Linked DNA regions of Pelodiscus sinensis. The protein of the gene in region 2 interacts with the protein of the main gene of each other region in a pairwise test. Links are inferred from orthologs where the notes say so. Each region holds a gene or a part of one and is shown on either strand. Other genes may lie near its edges.

The links. The genes of interacting proteins can lie anywhere in the genome.
Region 1: the proteins of RASSF5 (region 2) and RASSF2 interact in binary tests that used the Homo sapiens proteins (3 or more experiments, as listed by UniProt). The link is inferred for Pelodiscus sinensis from reciprocal best matches to the Homo sapiens genes RASSF5 and RASSF2.

The regions. Positions count from the first base shown.
Region 1 is NC_134738.1:480,908-488,616, reverse strand, and holds the start of RASSF2 (ras association domain-containing protein 2), read left to right. Parts: upstream 1-4,525; 5' UTR 4,526-4,714; intron 4,715-7,709. UniProt on the Homo sapiens protein: Potential tumor suppressor. Acts as a KRAS-specific effector protein. May promote apoptosis and cell cycle arrest. Stabilizes STK3/MST2 by protecting it from proteasomal degradation.
Region 2 is NC_134737.1:6,050,527-6,058,801, reverse strand, and holds the start of RASSF5 (ras association domain-containing protein 5), read left to right. Parts: upstream 1-5,209; 5' UTR 5,210-5,351; coding exon 5,352-5,943; intron 5,944-8,275. UniProt on the Homo sapiens protein: Potential tumor suppressor. Seems to be involved in lymphocyte adhesion by linking RAP1A activation upon T-cell receptor or chemokine stimulation to integrin activation.

The DNA.
Region 1 (7,709 bases), on a different chromosome or scaffold from region 2:
TCTACTTCCAGGCTGACTAGTCTCCAGTCCCTTTTCAGCAGTCAGTTCAGCCCTGGGGAATGTGCAGGACTGATGGCTGGGACAGCTGTGATCTGGATGAATCCCAGGGCAGAAGCAGCAGGAGCCTTAGTAGGCCAAGCCGCAGAACAGGAAGGGTCACCTGGGAGGGGAGAAATGGTGGGTCAGCCCTAGTGGCTCTGCTAGCTGCGTTGCTGCCCTCCCTGGGCACCCCAAGCTCCTGGAGGGTTTAAGTACAATAATTTCTATCACACATGCACTGGGCTTCTTTTGAGTTGCCTTCTGGTTTTGAACCTTTGGGGTTACATGCAGGCCACGTTTCAAGCTTATGTAAGGGGACTGTTAGCCCCTTACTAAAACTCAGTGGGAGTTTTTGGTTGGCCAGCTCCCAGTACCAAAAGGGGAAGGGTACATGAGACTGACTGACAGACCCCAGGGACAGGGGCAGATATAGGGCAGGGCGAGCGGGGTGGCTGCCCCGGGCCCCGCGCTTCAAGAAGCCCCACGCATGCGATGTGTCAAAGGGGGGGCCCTGCGAAATTGTGCTACCCTAGGCCCCGCAAAATCGTCATCCGTCCCTGCCCAGGGACAATGGGAAGAGGCCAACACTCCAGCTCAGCCTGATTGACAGGTTGGACAGATGAATGAGAGAATTAGAAGGCCAGGTCCCATCCTCCGTGTGAGCTGGGATTTTCTGGGTCTTTCTGAGAAAAGGAGAGAGAGCTGAGAAGAGCAGCAGAAAAGGCAAGCTGTGTGGAGACAGACATGCAGTGTCACAGCCAGGCACACACAGCCCGAGGAGTGCAAGCTGTGCTGAGGGGCAGACCTGCAGTGTCACAGCCAGGCACACACAGCCCGAGGAGTGAAAGCTGTGCTGAGGGGCAGACCTGCAGTGTCACAGCCAGGCGCACACAGCCCGAGAAGTGAAAGCTGTGCTGAGGGGCAGACCTGCAGTGTCACAGCCAGGCACACACAGCCCGAGGAGTGAAAGCTGTGCTGAGGGGCAGACCTGCAGTGTCACAGCCAGGCACACACAGCCCGAGGAGTGAAAGCTGTGCTGAGGGGCAGACCTGCAGTGTCACAGCCAGGCGCGCACAGCCCGAGGAGTGAAAGCTGTGCTGAGGGGCAGACCTGCAGTGTCACAGCCAGGCGCGCACAGCCCGAGGAGTGAAAGCTGTGCTGAGGGGCAGACCTGCAGTGTCACAGCCAGGCGCGCACAGCCCGAGGAGTGAAAGCTGTGCTGAGGGGCAGACCTGCAGTGTCACAGCCAGGCGCGCACAGCCCGAGGAGTGCAAGCTGTGCTGAGGGGCAGACCTGCAGTGTCACAGCCAGGCACGCACAGCCCGAGGAGTGAAAGCTGTGCTGAGGGGCAGACCTGCAGTGTCACAGCCAGGCACGCACAGCCCGAGGAGTGCAAGCTGTGCTGAGGGGCAGACCTGCAGTGTCACAGCCAGGCGCGCACAGCCCGAGGAGTGCAAGCTGTGCTGAGGGGCAGACCTGCAGTGTCACAGCCAGGCGCGCACAGCCCGAGGAGTGAAAGCTGTGCTGAGGGGCAGACCTGCAGTGTCACAGCCAGGCACGCACAGCCCGAGAAGTGAAAGCTGTGCTGAGGGGCAGACCTGCAGTGTCACAGCCAGGCACACACAGCCCGAGGAGTGAAAGCTGTGCTGAGGGGCAGACCTGCAGTGTCACAGCCAGGCACACACAGCCCGAGGAGTGCAAGCTGTGCTGAGGGGCAGACCTGCAGTGTCACAGCCAGGCGCGCACAGCCCGAGGAGTGCAAGCTGTGCTGAGGGGCAGACCTGCAGAGTCACAGCCAGGCACACACAGCCCGAGAAGTGAAAGCTGTGCTGAGGGGCAGACCTGCAGTGTCACAGCCAGGCACACACAGCCCGAGGAGTGCAAGCTGTGCTGAGGGGCAGACCTGCAGTGTCACAGCCAGGCGCGCACAGCCCGAGGAGTGCAAGCTGTGCTGAGGGGCAGACCTGCAGTGACAGAGCCCCACACACAGCCCGAGGAGTGAAAGCTGTGCTGAGGGGCAGACCTGCAGTGACAGAGCCCCACACACAGCCCGAGGAGTGAAAGCTGTGCTGAGGGGCAGACCTGCAGTGACAGAGCCCCACACACAGCCCGAGGAGTGAAAGCTGTGCTGAGGGGCAGACCTGCAGTGACAGAGCCCCACACACAGCCCGAGGAGTGAAAGCTGTGCTGAGGGGCAGACCTGCAGTGACAGAGCCCCACACACAGCCCGAGGAGCACAGACCCTGTGCTGAGCAGCAGACCTGCAGTGACCAGAGAGCCAAAGGGGTCAGAGAAGCAACACAAGGAGCTGGAGTCTGGCAAAGCAGCAGTCTGCAGCTGGGTGTGGTGAGTAGCTGGGACCAGCAAAGGGGGAAAGAGGCTCTGGGCAGGGACACGCCACCAGCGCCACCCTGCAGGCCAGACTTGGAGAGGGATTGTAACTCCAACTGGGAGAGGGGTCCTGCCACCTAGAGCCTAGGCCATGTGGTCACTCCCAGAGCAAGCGTGTCCAACTTGCAGCCTCCCTGCAGCACAGCCAGGGCCTGAGAGAGAGCCCGGGGACCTACAAGGAACAGACTGTGAACTATCCTTACACTCTGCAGACGGCTGTTTGTGATGTCCCCGTGCTACAGAGGAGGGCTGTGCGTTCTCATTTAACCTTTCTCATTTTTCCTTTTCTGTTCTTTTTGATCAGTTGTTTAATAAATTGTATTTGCTTTGAACTGTATGAAATGATCACTGGGTCAAGAAAGCCTGCAGTGTGAAGAGAGCACCCCAGAGTGGGGACACCCTAGCCCTTACCCCAAGTGACTACAAGGTCGGGGATTAAGCCCCAGAAAACCTGGGCCTAGCTTTGTTGGATTTCGAGGACTCTGCTACTCAGGAGAATGGAAGAGGAGCCCTCAGTGTCAGGGAGGCCTTTGGGTAAAAGAAGTGGGAGTGGGGACTCAGATGCTTTTGCTGGTCCATTTCACCGGGGCAGTATAGAAGCCAGGAAAGCTCCCCACAATAGCGGGACCATTCCCCCGCTTACACTTATCTCAACAGCCCTTCTTAGAAACTGAAAGCTGTTGTTTCAGACCAGCACTCGCCCCAGCATTTGGGGCATGAAGAGAGCCACAGAACAACGTGAGACTTGCTATCCAACTACAAGTGCTGGCAACACTGCAGCTGGGGGGGCCGACCGAACTGCCAGGCCCTTATGCAAGATGGGAGGGTGGCAGGGCAGCTCCATGCTCACCGAAGGGGCGGGGCTTCTGGCAGAAGAGGCGGGACTTTGGGCTAGCTGCTTCTGGGTGGTGCTGAAGGGCTGGTAGGAGGCTATCAGGAGCCCCAAGCCATTTTGAATTGCTAGGCCTAGAGGCAGGTGCCGCCTTTGCCCTTCCACCCCCATCAACAGGCCTAGTTGTGAGTTTTGCAGATTTTAAGCCCAGAAGGGACCACAGCTGGGTATGCTGCATAGCACAGGCCAGACTCCTGCCAACAGGCCCGACCTTAGGGAAAGGTGAGCAAGGCGGTTGCCTAGGACCCTGTGCTGCCTGGCTGGGAGCCACCCAGCCATGTGGTACAGCCAACCACAACATGCTGCCTTGGGCCGTGCAAACTGGCCAGGCCTGCTTATCCAATGGCTTGTGGTGGAGCTGGTGCGAATACTCCAGAGCAGGGGCTTGCAACCTTTGCAGACTGTCATGCCCCTTGCAGAGTCTGAATTGTCTTCTGTGCCCCCGTCTTGCTCCCCCTTGAAAAAGACTCACTCACAAAACCAGACACAGAAATATACAAGTGCCATTGCACACGGTCACTGAAAAATGGCTGACTCGCTCATTTTGGCCAAATAATTAAAATATAATCCCTGGATATATAAATATTGTACTTCCAGTTCAGGGCCTAGTATGCAGAGCAGTGTAAACAAGTCACTGTATGAAATTTTAGTTGGTACAGTACCGACTTTGCCAATGCTTTCTATGTAGCCTAGGCAAATCTCTAGATGAAACACCTAGGCTTGATGTAAGGATTTCAAGATGTCCCTTGGCCATCTCAGCCTGTGGCTAGTTCCCCAGAGGGTTCAAAACCAGCCCCTTAGTTAGTCCCATTTGAACACTCAGTTTCCAGGTGGTGACTCTTGGCTCTGTCTGGCTCCTAAATGGATTTAAACTCTTGCTTGCTGGTACCGCACACCCGTCAAACATCAGCTGGGAATGTCCCTTGTCCCGCCCGACCTGGCCTGTGTCTGAGCCGGGCGAGGCCAGTGGGACACATCCCCCCGAGTAGCTCGCTTGGGTGGACTGCCCGCCCCCCAACGCTTCACAAAAGTCCTTTCTTCCCCCGCCTGGGGCGGGTCAGGCCCCCACCCTCTCTCCCGGGCCCTGGCCAGGCTCAGGCTGCGATCCCAGCGCCCCCCTGCAGCCGCCGCCTCTGCTGCGGACACTCCCCAGCCAGCTGCGCATTGTCTGGGCGGGCGAGCGGGGCGCCAATGAGGCCGCGGCAGCGAACGGCGGCGCAGCAGCCATTGGTGCGGGGCGCAGGGAGACAGGCGGGCGGTGTCTGCAGCTGCGCTGGCCCCGCAGGGCGGCGGATGGAGGCGCGGGCGCCGCTGCCCGAGAAGGACGGAGCAGGAGCGCGGATGCCGCCTTGTTGGGCGGCTCTCGAGTGCCCCCGCCCTGCCCAGAGCCCGGTAATCAGCGCAGCGGGGGCGGCCGGGGGCGGTTGGGTAACAAAGCCGGGTGGGGCTGCAGCAGCCGGGGGAGTTTGCCGGGCTACCCATCCTCCCCGGCTCCCTCGTTGGGCCGCTGGTCCTGGAGCCTGGCGTGGCGGAGGGAGCAGCCGCCTGGGAGCCAGGCTGCCCGGGTTCTGTGCCTGGCTTGGGGCTGGCCTCGGCAAGCACCGGTCGGAGGAGGGCGGTCCCCGGGGGCCTTTCTTCCACATCGCCGCCAAGCATCCCTCTGTCTTGGGCACGCGGCACCATCTCCGTGCGCTTCCCCTTGCCCCGGCCTCGGGTGCTGGTGGCTCCGCTAGGACTGATCTGCGGGCAGGGCTGGGGAGCAGGAGTCTGGTTCCTGGTGGGCTAGAGGCTGGTTTTAGTGGGTATCTAGCAACGTTCCCCGAGCTGCTCAGGCGTTTCGGGCCAGTCCGGGCGCAGGGGGACAGACCGGAGCGAGGGGCTCAGAAGCTGTTTCAGGGTCTGTCACTTTCCAGGCCGCGGTGAGTGGCCTGGCGGGTCCTCTCGGAGGCTCCCCTCTGGCGGGGGTGACTTCCAGCAGTTGGTTGGGCAAACTCCGCTGCCTCTGAAAGTAACAGCGCAGCCACGATTGCAGCCTTGGCAAGGGGGGGGGGGCAGCAATCTGTGGCGGGACCTTCGGTTTCTGTGAAATCTGTTCCAGTCAAAGGCCCCTCCCTGAGCGGCGGATCCTGCCTGTCCCTCCAAAGGAATGTCTGCTTGGGACCGGGCAGACAGACTCATGTTAACAATTCATAGCTCTTTGTACAGACAAGGGACCACTATGATAATCCAGAGCTCTTGGCTTCATAACCGCCTCTTAAATGGAGTTGTGAGTCAGCCTGGCTGGCCTAGCTCAGAGCTTATATTCCCCGTCTGTCTCCTCCTGAGGCCTTCCTGACCTTTGCCTCTGACCTCTGCCTGGCTGCCCTGTTCCCCACCTGTGCAGGGGGACGGTTAACCTAGAAGCCTTTCAAGCAGGGGGGGTGATTCACCAGGTCATCTGCACCAGAGACGTGGTAAGGGAGGCACAGGCCTCATGCTGATCCTTGGACAGAGTTGACTTTCCCTCAGATTGATCCAGTGAGCAAGCTTCCCTCTTGCAGCCTGAGTGCATCACCCCACCCTGTCCCCCGGGCCAGTTCTAGTGCTGGGGGAGGACACTGTCCGGTGGTGGTTTCCAGAGCAGCTGCTGCCTGTGGAGCAGTTTTGTATTGGCTGCCCTCCTGCCCCCTCCTGCATTGTATCCTGGTGCAGGCACCTTGGTTAGGGTGAGAGGATGGGTCAGTCTGTGGTCCTGGGCCCCTGCTGAGCGCTCTCACATGGGTATCAGTGGGGCTGGCAGCCTGGAGGAGGAATCTGGACTGAAACCCACCAACTCATTTCCAGTAGGTCACAAAGAGCGATTTGATGGCCACTATTTCCAGTCTGTCCAGTCGGGGGGTGCAGAGGTCAGTAGGCCCCATTGCCCTGAGCTGCCCAGCCCTGTTTGCTTAAATTCCCTGTCTGTCTCCTCCTGAGGCCTTCCTGACCTTTGCCCCTAATCTCTACCTGGCTGCCCTGTTTTCCCTGAGCAGGGCCCTTCCAGGCCAAATCCACTTGGCAAAGAGAGCCAGGGCCTTGGCAGGGTGTTTAGTGTCTAGCTTCATAACAAGTGCATGCTGTTCCCTTCACAGCTGCCTTGCAGAGCACAGAATCCAGCAGCCAGTAGCACAGTGGTGTTAGCCTTCTCCCCAACATTGGATACTGGGCTCTGTTTACAGGAATTGCCCTGTGGCTGTGGGTCAGCTAGAGATGCCTTGGGCATGGGAGAACTGCTGGGTGAGCACTTGTTGGAGAGCAACGCGGCCTTGTTTAGGGGAGGGATGCGGAGGACTTCAGGTGGCCCTTTATGTTGCTTGTGCCTAAAACCATTTGGGCAAATTGTTCTCACCACAATTGGGGTAGGGAGCTGTTTCTCAGGGAGGGCTCAAAGCACAGAAATACCTGCTGAATGGGGCACAAGGGGATTCTCAGACACGCAGGCAGGTGGTGATGATCCACCCTAAGGTGAAGTCTATCCGGGCACTTGACAGTACTGTATTCTAGCTCATTGAGACACTTCCCCTTCCTGGAATGCAGCAAGTTACAGCACTGTAAGTTGCCTGTGTGAGCCAGGCTACAGCCCTGTGGCTCCCAGCGCTGTGAGCTGCTCCCCATGCAGAGGCAGGTTACATAGGCACTGGGAGAGCTCTCGGCCCCCACTTGTGCCGTGGCCACACTTTCAGTTTAAAGTGCTGCTGCAGCTGCACTTTAAACTGTTCTGTGTATACAAAGCTTGAGTAGCTTTGTCTTCCAGACATGCTGGCCTTCTCAGAAGAGAAGAGCCATCTTCCCCAGAGCCAGTGAGTGCCTCCACATCCTTAGCTGGCGGGAACTGGTGCTGAATGGCTCAGCTTTGAGCTCCACTGCTGACCCAGACCCGACAGCTTTAGGAAGTCAGTCCATGACTTCCAATGGTGCTTTGAATCTCTTTCCTGCTGCCTCTTATCCTACTTTCCGGCCTCAGTGTGGCCTCTGATGTTCCAGGCTGTCCCTAGACTTAGGAGCATGATCTTGGGTCAGTTTCACTTTGTGTTGGTTTCCTGCATAGTCATTAAGAGATAGGAACTTTAATTCTTAAATACAAACTTAGACCTGCCCTAGGAAGTGCACCAAGTCTGCCTCTAGGAATTTCTCTGATTCAGGTCTCAGTGCCCATCACTTAGCATCACTACACTGGTGCACAAGAGCACATGCAGGGCAAGCTTATTTTTATAAACTACAGCAAGAGGGCAGATACACCAATTCCCAGGCCCCAATAGCTTGTGTCTGAATCTACAGTAAGGGATAAAAAAAATCCCAGAGCTGTTGCTCAAGGTTTCTGTCAAGTTCTGAGCTAACTCCTGGAAGTGACCCCTGCCATCACAGCCTG
Region 2 (8,275 bases):
CTGCTTTCTCTCAAGCGATGGTTGATTTATTAACCACCTTTTGTGGCAAATGGTCCTTGAACAAACTATTGGTCTACAGTAAGGGGAAGTTTTTTGCTAATGAAAACATAAAAACCATTCAGCTCATGACAGGTATATTGGCTATGGATTAATAACTGCCAGGCAAATACTCAGATTCCACAATAGGGGGACTGTGAATTTGCTCAGTTCTAACCTGTGACATAACAGGAGACAGTTAATTTTTTTTTCCAGTGTCCAAAACTAAATTAACTTCCGTTTGGTTTGAACAAAACATGTTTGACCTGGCATGTATTTGTATTTGTTTTTTATTTTGTTTTGGGGATCATGCTTTTTCTGTTAAATCAACCCAGTTAACCTTTTAAACTAGATGCCATTTTGAAATAAAGAGGTTTGACTATCCATTAAAAACATAATTCTGGGCGAAACTCTTCTCCGGACTTGATCTGAATTTGCAAATAGTTTTGATGAACCTGAAATGGTGTTTTTTCAGCAATTAAACTATTTGTCCAGAAAATTTTGCAGAGCTCTGCTGTAGATCACTTCCTCTGGCAGATGATTAGGAGAGTGTTTCATGAATAAAAGGATGGTGTGAGCAACACCATCCAGCCTTTGCTTACTGGTCTGAAAAGCAAACGGGAAATGCTGTGTTGTGTTCCAGCTGTTTTCTCTGGAATACATTCTGCAGTTTGGTTCCAGAGGTAGGAGAATTGGGCCTCTTTAAATTGAACCTCGTTACAATGTTCTTCCCTAAACAGTTGCATAATGTGACATAGTGCTGTTAAATAGCTTTAAGCGTCATCTCAGAGGTTGCCATATTTTTGTTGGGGGCAAAGCAATTCATCTGTAGAACTGATATATCTGTTTAAATGTGCAGAAGACTACACAGCCCTACAGAAATATTAATTCACTCAATTCTCTTCCATCTTTCAGGTAAATAAATTTTCCCACTTCCCTGGTAGGGAAACTAAGGCAAAGAGGTTAAGTGATCTGCACAAGGTCACATACAAAATCAATATCAGAACAAGGTTGGAAACTCGAATTCCTGAGTCTTGGTCCTGTGTGTTGGTCAAGAGACCCAGTATTAACAGGACAAGAGACACATGAGAAGTGAATTCTTACAGTTCAGCAACCCCATAATTACAAAGGACACACTCAGTTTCCCCCATTGGGTTCTGACACACAATTGCATATGAAGTAAAACTGTTCGATTGACTTTTCTTGGGGCCCATGTATATTTATTTTAAGTTCTATTTTTTTTTTCAAATCTCATACAACACAAGTTCAATCTCTTATGAAGAAGCCTTCACATAACATGCGCTAGCCTGTCACAAATATTCCCCACGTTTTTTCTTTTACTGGATTGGGTGGGTGGGTTGGCTGTAGCTATGTTGTAACTGTCGCTTGAGCGCAAAACAGCCCTTTGTTGCATAGAAAAGAGAGGTTGCTTGTGATGATGATAAAATGAACAGGGGAGAAGGGATTTTAAGAAAACATAGGGCAGGGGGGACCAACTTCGTGCTAAAATGAAGAATGAAACTAGAATGTTGCAAGCTGGACTGCTGTTTGATAACTGACTTGAGCATCATGCTATGTATGTGCTATTATGGCACTATTAGCTTGTAACACAGATCTCCCAGCGCTTTTTGGGGTTAAATATCTGATTCATCCCTAACTCCCTTGAGAAACAGACACATGAGAACAAATTTACCCTCCACTATAGCAAATGAAAAGCAATTATCTCTGATTATCCTCTCCCTGGAACCCATGTAATTTAGGAGTAACTCCACTGACAACTATTTAAGAGTAATGCCACTGAAGTTTACACCAGTTTTACACCCATATGAGAGAAATTACACCACAAAGAAAAAGTAGTGCGGTAATAGTAGCCTGGGACCTGGAAGACCAAATTCAATCTATGCTCTACTGCCTACTTGTCATGTGGTCTTGGCCAAAAATTTTAAGTGGCTAGTGATTTTGAAGATCTGATTGTTTAAACATCCAACTTGAGATGCCGTAAAGGGTCAAAAATTGTGGAGCATTCACCTTCTGATAATCTGACCCTTTAAGGCATCTATCCTGTTAGACACCCAGACTAATTAGTCATTTCTGAAAAACTTAGACTAATTACTCTCTCTCTACCTCAGTCACGCTGTCTGTAAAATGGGAACAGTAGCTGCCTCATGGGCATTTAGTGAGCCTTCAGTGATGTTCAGGAAGTACTTGGTGTTCCCTAGTTGAGAAGCACTGTAGGCAGCACAATATTACATTTAATGTTCAATTAGCCTTTGTTCTGTTTCTCTTGATACAAAAGGCATAGAAAAGAATGAGTTTTGCCAAGCGGCAATTGTAGGAAGACTAAAGGAGGATATGATAGGGGTCTATAAAATCATGACTGGTGTGGAGAAAGTAAATAAGAAAAAGTTATCATTTCTATAACACAAAAACTAGGGGTCACCAAATGAAATTAATAGCTGGTTTAAAACAAAGGAAATATTTATTCACACAATGCACAGTCAACCTGTGGTACTCCTTGTGAAGGTCAAGACAATAACAAAAGAGCTAGATAGATTCATGGAGGTTAGGTCTATCAATGGCTATTAGCCAGATGGGCAGGGATGGTGGCCCTAGCATCTGTTTGTCAGAAGCTGAAAATGGGCAACAGGAGATTGATCACTTGATGATTCCCTGTTCTGTTCATTCCCTCTGGGAGCATCTGCAATGGGCAACTGTGGAAAGACAGGATACTGGGCTAGATGGACCTTTGGCTTGCTCCAGTATGGATGCTCTTATGTTAATGGATTTTGGCCCCTCCCTCAAAAGTTTTTTAAAAGCAAAAGAAGCATTTCAGGGATATTTTAAAATTCAAATTGAAACCTGAAACAAAAAGGGTCCTCAACAACCCCCCCCCCCCCGCAAATATTATTTAATTCTGCTTCCAGCTAGGTCGGGGTGAGTTGGGGTGAGGAAACTTTTTTGGGTTGGGGGCCACTGACCCACAGAAAAATTAGTCGGGGGCCACACACAAGTGAGAAACAACAACCAAAAAACCTCACCAATGTGGCCTCCGACTGTGAAGGAGAAAGACCCTCCCTCCCTTCCCCTCACACACTAGAGCCTAGATGGGCCCAGGCTAGATTTTGGGTGCTCCAACCCCACAGGAGGATGGCAGAGAAGGGAGCTGGAGGGGGGAGCCCTGAGCCTTTGGGGTCTGATCCAGGCAAGCCACAGGCCACATCCAACCCCCAGGCCTTAGGTTTCTCACCCCTGAGCTAGGTCATGCTAGCACCAGAAGCTGTCTGCAATGGCAAGTGGCTGGGTTTATTTTCACTTGTCTTGCAGGGAATGAAACACATACACAAAAACAGCAGTAAAGCCTTTTAAACTTGGGAGCCCAAAGTTAGGCACCTAAGTAAATGGTTTGATTTTTGTTTTCTTCTTCCAGAGGCTCTTGAGCAGATGCTGTTCCCATTCCATTGACTGGACATTCAGGGGCAAGGGGCATTCACAAAGTGTCTTTCATACGGAGTTAGGCATCTAACAGCAAGTACCCAAGAGAATATTTTGGTGCACCATGAAAATGAGCATTTAAATAAACAAGTGATTGCAATAAAGGTGGAAAATTAAATGATTGTCTAGACCAGGCGCACAAACGCTGTACAAACAGAACAACAGGACAGTCTGGGCCCCAAAGAGCTTATAGTCTACCTATAAAATAAGTGGATACAAACCTACAAGGGAGGACAAGGAAACAGAGAAAATATTGGTTCACTTAATTGGCAATGGTTCAGCTCACCAGCTGCAGCGTGTCCCTGTATGTGTATAAAAATACAGGTCTGTAGAAGCTGAATGTTTAGTAAAGACTGTAATTTACTTTATTAATAAATATAAATTAGCCATTCAAAAATTCATCTCCAAAACCAGTGTTGCATTTTTGTACAGTTTCCTGTTGAAGTGTTGAGGAAAGTGCAGTTAATGGGCCCAAATGTGGTGCAGAGGTGAGCTTTAGTAATGGAGGGGAAGGAAGCAGTGCTGTAAACTCTCTATAGCCCTTACGGTTATTTATCTCTGTGTTTTAAAAAGAGCTTTATCTAACCCAGCAGTGGGCAACCTGCAGCCTGCGGGCCACATGTAGCCCATGCACCTGCTTTCCCCGTGCCTCCGGGGTCCTGCACTTACCTACTCCTCCCCCTTCCTCCCAGCACTTCCAGAGAGCCACAAATTGGCTGCTCTTCTTCCAACCTCCCAGGGCTAGAACACCATGAAGTCCTGGGTGAGGGGCTGGAGCAGGGACCCGAAGCACTTGGGAGAGGAGGCAGGGAAGAGGCCGGATAAAGAATTGATATTGTGTGAATTGTTTCTTTTTTATTATTTGAAGTTGAGGACCACTCTGTTAATCCATGAATGATTAAAGCATTTCAACTTGTTTTGAAATATGCTGCATATTAACATATTTAATCTTATTCTTGGGGTCATGATTAATGCATGCGGGTTTATTTCAGTCTTGCAGCCCGCTCATTAACTGTGTGTGCTACCCCCCAGGGGCACAAACGGATTCCCCACTTATTGAAGAAATTGTGGTGGTACTTTGCAAAATCCCACTAGGTGCTTAAATACCTTTTTAAGCCTCTGCCCATAACATCCTGTTGTCAAAAGTGGCCTGGGCCCTCAGCAGCCTAAAACTTGTGTGGCTTTTTATTTCCCTCACTGCCTAAGTCACTTCTGGGCAAGGACGGGAGCCCTTAGATCAGTGAAAAAAATTCCCCTTTCAGGCAGGCATCGGCTGGGCATTGCTGGGAGGACTGGTAGCCGCGTTTGAATTCCTGTCTCCTTTCTTTGTAAACAGGTGCCTGGCCGGGGCATGCAGGCATGGGTGTAAGTACACACAGGTGCCCCCTATGCAGCAGTGCTGAAAAGTAACTTTCAATTTCCCACAGGTGTGGTCCTACTGCAACCGGGCTCCTTGCCAGTTGTTTCAATAGCTCCCTGCTGGGTTCTGCCCCGGCTCTTAGCAGAGCTGCGCCCCCCTTCCCTGTCCCCTCCGGTTTGTGGGGTCTGCGCCCCGGTTTGCACGCGCGGTGGGGCAGGGACTGTGCCTGGAACGAAGGGCGTTTCCCCCAGCGCAGTGGGGCTGGGTGCCTGATTGGCTGGTGCCGCAGCGGCTGCTCCAATCTCAGGCTCGCGGCGGGTTTCGCGTGTCCCTGTGTGTTTAACGGGGCCTCCCACTGCAGCGGCGCTCGCAAGCGGCTACGCCAGCGGCGCTTCCAGGTGGCTCCCCCCCTTGTCTCTCCAATTCACCCCTGCGCTCCGCCGGGCCGCGGCTCGCTCGGGCCATGGCCTCCCCGGCCATCGGGCCGTGCCCCTGCCCGCTGCTCCTGGACAAAGAGCAGCAGCTCTTCCTGCAGAGCCTGAGCGCCCACGAGAGGAAGAAGATCCTCAAGCGCTCGGCGTCCGCGGACGCGAAGCCGCGGAGGCGGCAGGGGACCCTGCCCCAGCAGCGGGGCGCGGCGCCGGAGGATGCTCCGCCGGCGCAAGTGGCTGCAAGCGGCGGGGCGCCCGCGGACGGGGCGCGCCCGGGAGACGGGAGGTTCCCTGGCACCGCGGAGGAGCCCGGGCGCACGGCGCTAGCTGCGTGCTCTGCCGCGCAGCCCTGGGAGCCGGGGGGCAGCGCCGGAGCCCCCAGCCCGCCGGACTCCCCCGGCTCGGCCAAGCCGGCCCGCTCCGGGCTGCTCCACCTGCGCCTGCGGCGGCGCTCCGGGGCGCCGCGCCTGCTGCCCGACGTGCGGACCATCTTCGAGCAGCCCCGGGACCCCCGCGTGCGGCAGGAGACGGGCGAAGGGCACCGCTTCCAAACCTTCGCGCTCTGCAGCGGCTGGTGCGACCTGTGCGGGCAGGCGGTGCAGCAGCGAGTCCTGCGCTGCGCCAGTAAGTGTCTCTTCTCCCCCCTCCCCAGCTCCCTCCTGGCAGGTGACCGATCGCTTCCCTTGGCATCCCCCACCGCCCCCCTTCTCACTGCAGATGTCTGACCCGCCCCTCCTTGCACTGATCGGCAGCCCCTCTCGGTGCGAAATTGAATCACATCCCAACCCCTCTGCCCCCTGACAGGAGTGGGATCCCTGCTCCCCCCCCCCCCCCGCTGGTGTCTGACAGTGACAGGTGGTCTCCACAGCCCCCTGCCCTACACGCTCCTGAGGGCATCCGGAGAGCGTGTGTGTGTGTATGTAAGAGCACAGCGCATTGCCTGAGAAGGGATAATCCGGGCAACCTGGTTGCATCTAATCAGAAATCGTTTAAAGCAGTTAAATTCCCCTAGGAGAGCACCTGTGTTTGATGACAAAGGTTACTTCAGGGTGCCAGTGGTGGTATGTATATTAGAGGGGAGCTGTTTCTTTCACAGGCTTCAAACCTTGAGTAACCTCCCAGCTGTGGAATATATTTCCCCCTCATTTTTTTCTCTATAGCTTGTTGGTTTATTAACCCTATTACATACCAAGGTATTTACCTTCATCTGCAACTTTGACAGCATTGTATGCCTTGCCCTTTGCCCCACTGACAAATGACCTGATACTCAGACAATGTATTTGCTGATGTATGCTTGATTTAAGTCACTTGTTTTATCTCTTCAGGAGCTGTAAAGGCTTGCTAAGTACATAGCTGTGTTGAAGGATGACAGATAATGGTTTGATGCATGGAGCTCTGTTGCTGGTTTATTGGGATCTAATGTAATATTGTCTATAAAACACTATTGATTTGCTACCACTATAGATAGATAGATAGATTAGTCTGATGAGTTTTTGAGTCTGGCAGAGAAAAATGTGTGTGTGTCTATCATGCCATAGTCATGAGCTCCTTCAGGAGTTCATTTTGCTCACTAGCGCATAACACTGATCATCTTGGTTTTAAGATTTAGAGTAGCTGTGCTGTGAGTTCTGGTGATGTTTGATAAGTCTTTTCTCATCCTGTTCATGCACGTTTTGGGAAGGTGCAAATTCACAGAGTAATCACAACGATAGTGTTGTAAGATGTTCCTACCTTCATTATAGAATTTTCATCATTTAATGATCTGGGTTCATTCAGCTCATCCCTGCTGGTAAAGAGGTCTTGCTCTGATCTCAGTTGGAGTTGCACCTGCTTATGGGACATAATCCCTAGAATGCAGGGGTGTATCTGAATTGTTGCATGAGGTATATTTTTCTGCCAAGATGCCATTATAGCAATGTAAGGGCATTTCTCAATAAGCTGAATGATACACTGGGGGTTGGAGGAGGGTTGATTGAACTTAATTGTCAGCGTGGAACTGCTGATGGTGTCAAGGGAACTTAGATTATTGATTTTTTTTAATTGACTCTCTTGTATAGTAATCAAAGCTTAATATTTGATGGAGTGACTGGGTGCAGATTTTCTGCTGCCCAGCGCTGGCTCTAAATTAAATGGTTCATTTTCTTTCTTCCCTTCCCCTTTTTGTAGCTGATGAATATGCTTTCATGTTCAGTTTTGAATGGACATTCACTCTGTCTGGGCATTAACATTAATTTAAGGAACTGAAAATTACTTTTTCCTGTTACTCCTCATAATTGTTAATATGGTTACAGAGGTAGCGAGGACAGTAATTAAATTTCTCTTGCCAAAAGATGGCACTGATAACCTGTGAAGCACTGGATTGGAATTTTTTAAAAGCAGCTAAACATTTCTGCAATGACTTCTTTTGTCCTGCATTGTCCGTTGTTCCTAACCCCACCTTGTGCAGCACATAGAATCTCATAAAGTATAATATTCCAAAGCACATCATGATTAGATAAACTGCTCTTCAAAATGAACAGGTTCTAGCATAGGATTGCATGCTTCAGAGGTTAACATTGACACTGCTGCTCAGTCTGTGCTGATGTACATATTCAAATCTAAATTACCTGTGTAGTAGACACTGATCGAGAAGGAGGGAGTTCTCTTCCTTAAATTCACTCTGGTGGTTGGCTTCATTAATAGCTTATGGGAAATACCTAGTTACTAACTAAAGAAACTGAGACCAGATACCTCTATGTGAACTAATAAAATGTGAATATCATTTTTAAAAATAATTAGAACAGGGTCCTTGTTCATCTTAAAACATCTGGGATCTGGAAAAGGAAGCATGTAGGGAGTTGAAGTATCTTGATTGGGTGTTTTTCCTACTCCAGTACCTGAGGAATTTCCAGCAGGCTGCAGAAACCATGCAGCATGTGTGATTGCCCCCAAGCTCTCAGCACCATTTTTGTTTACA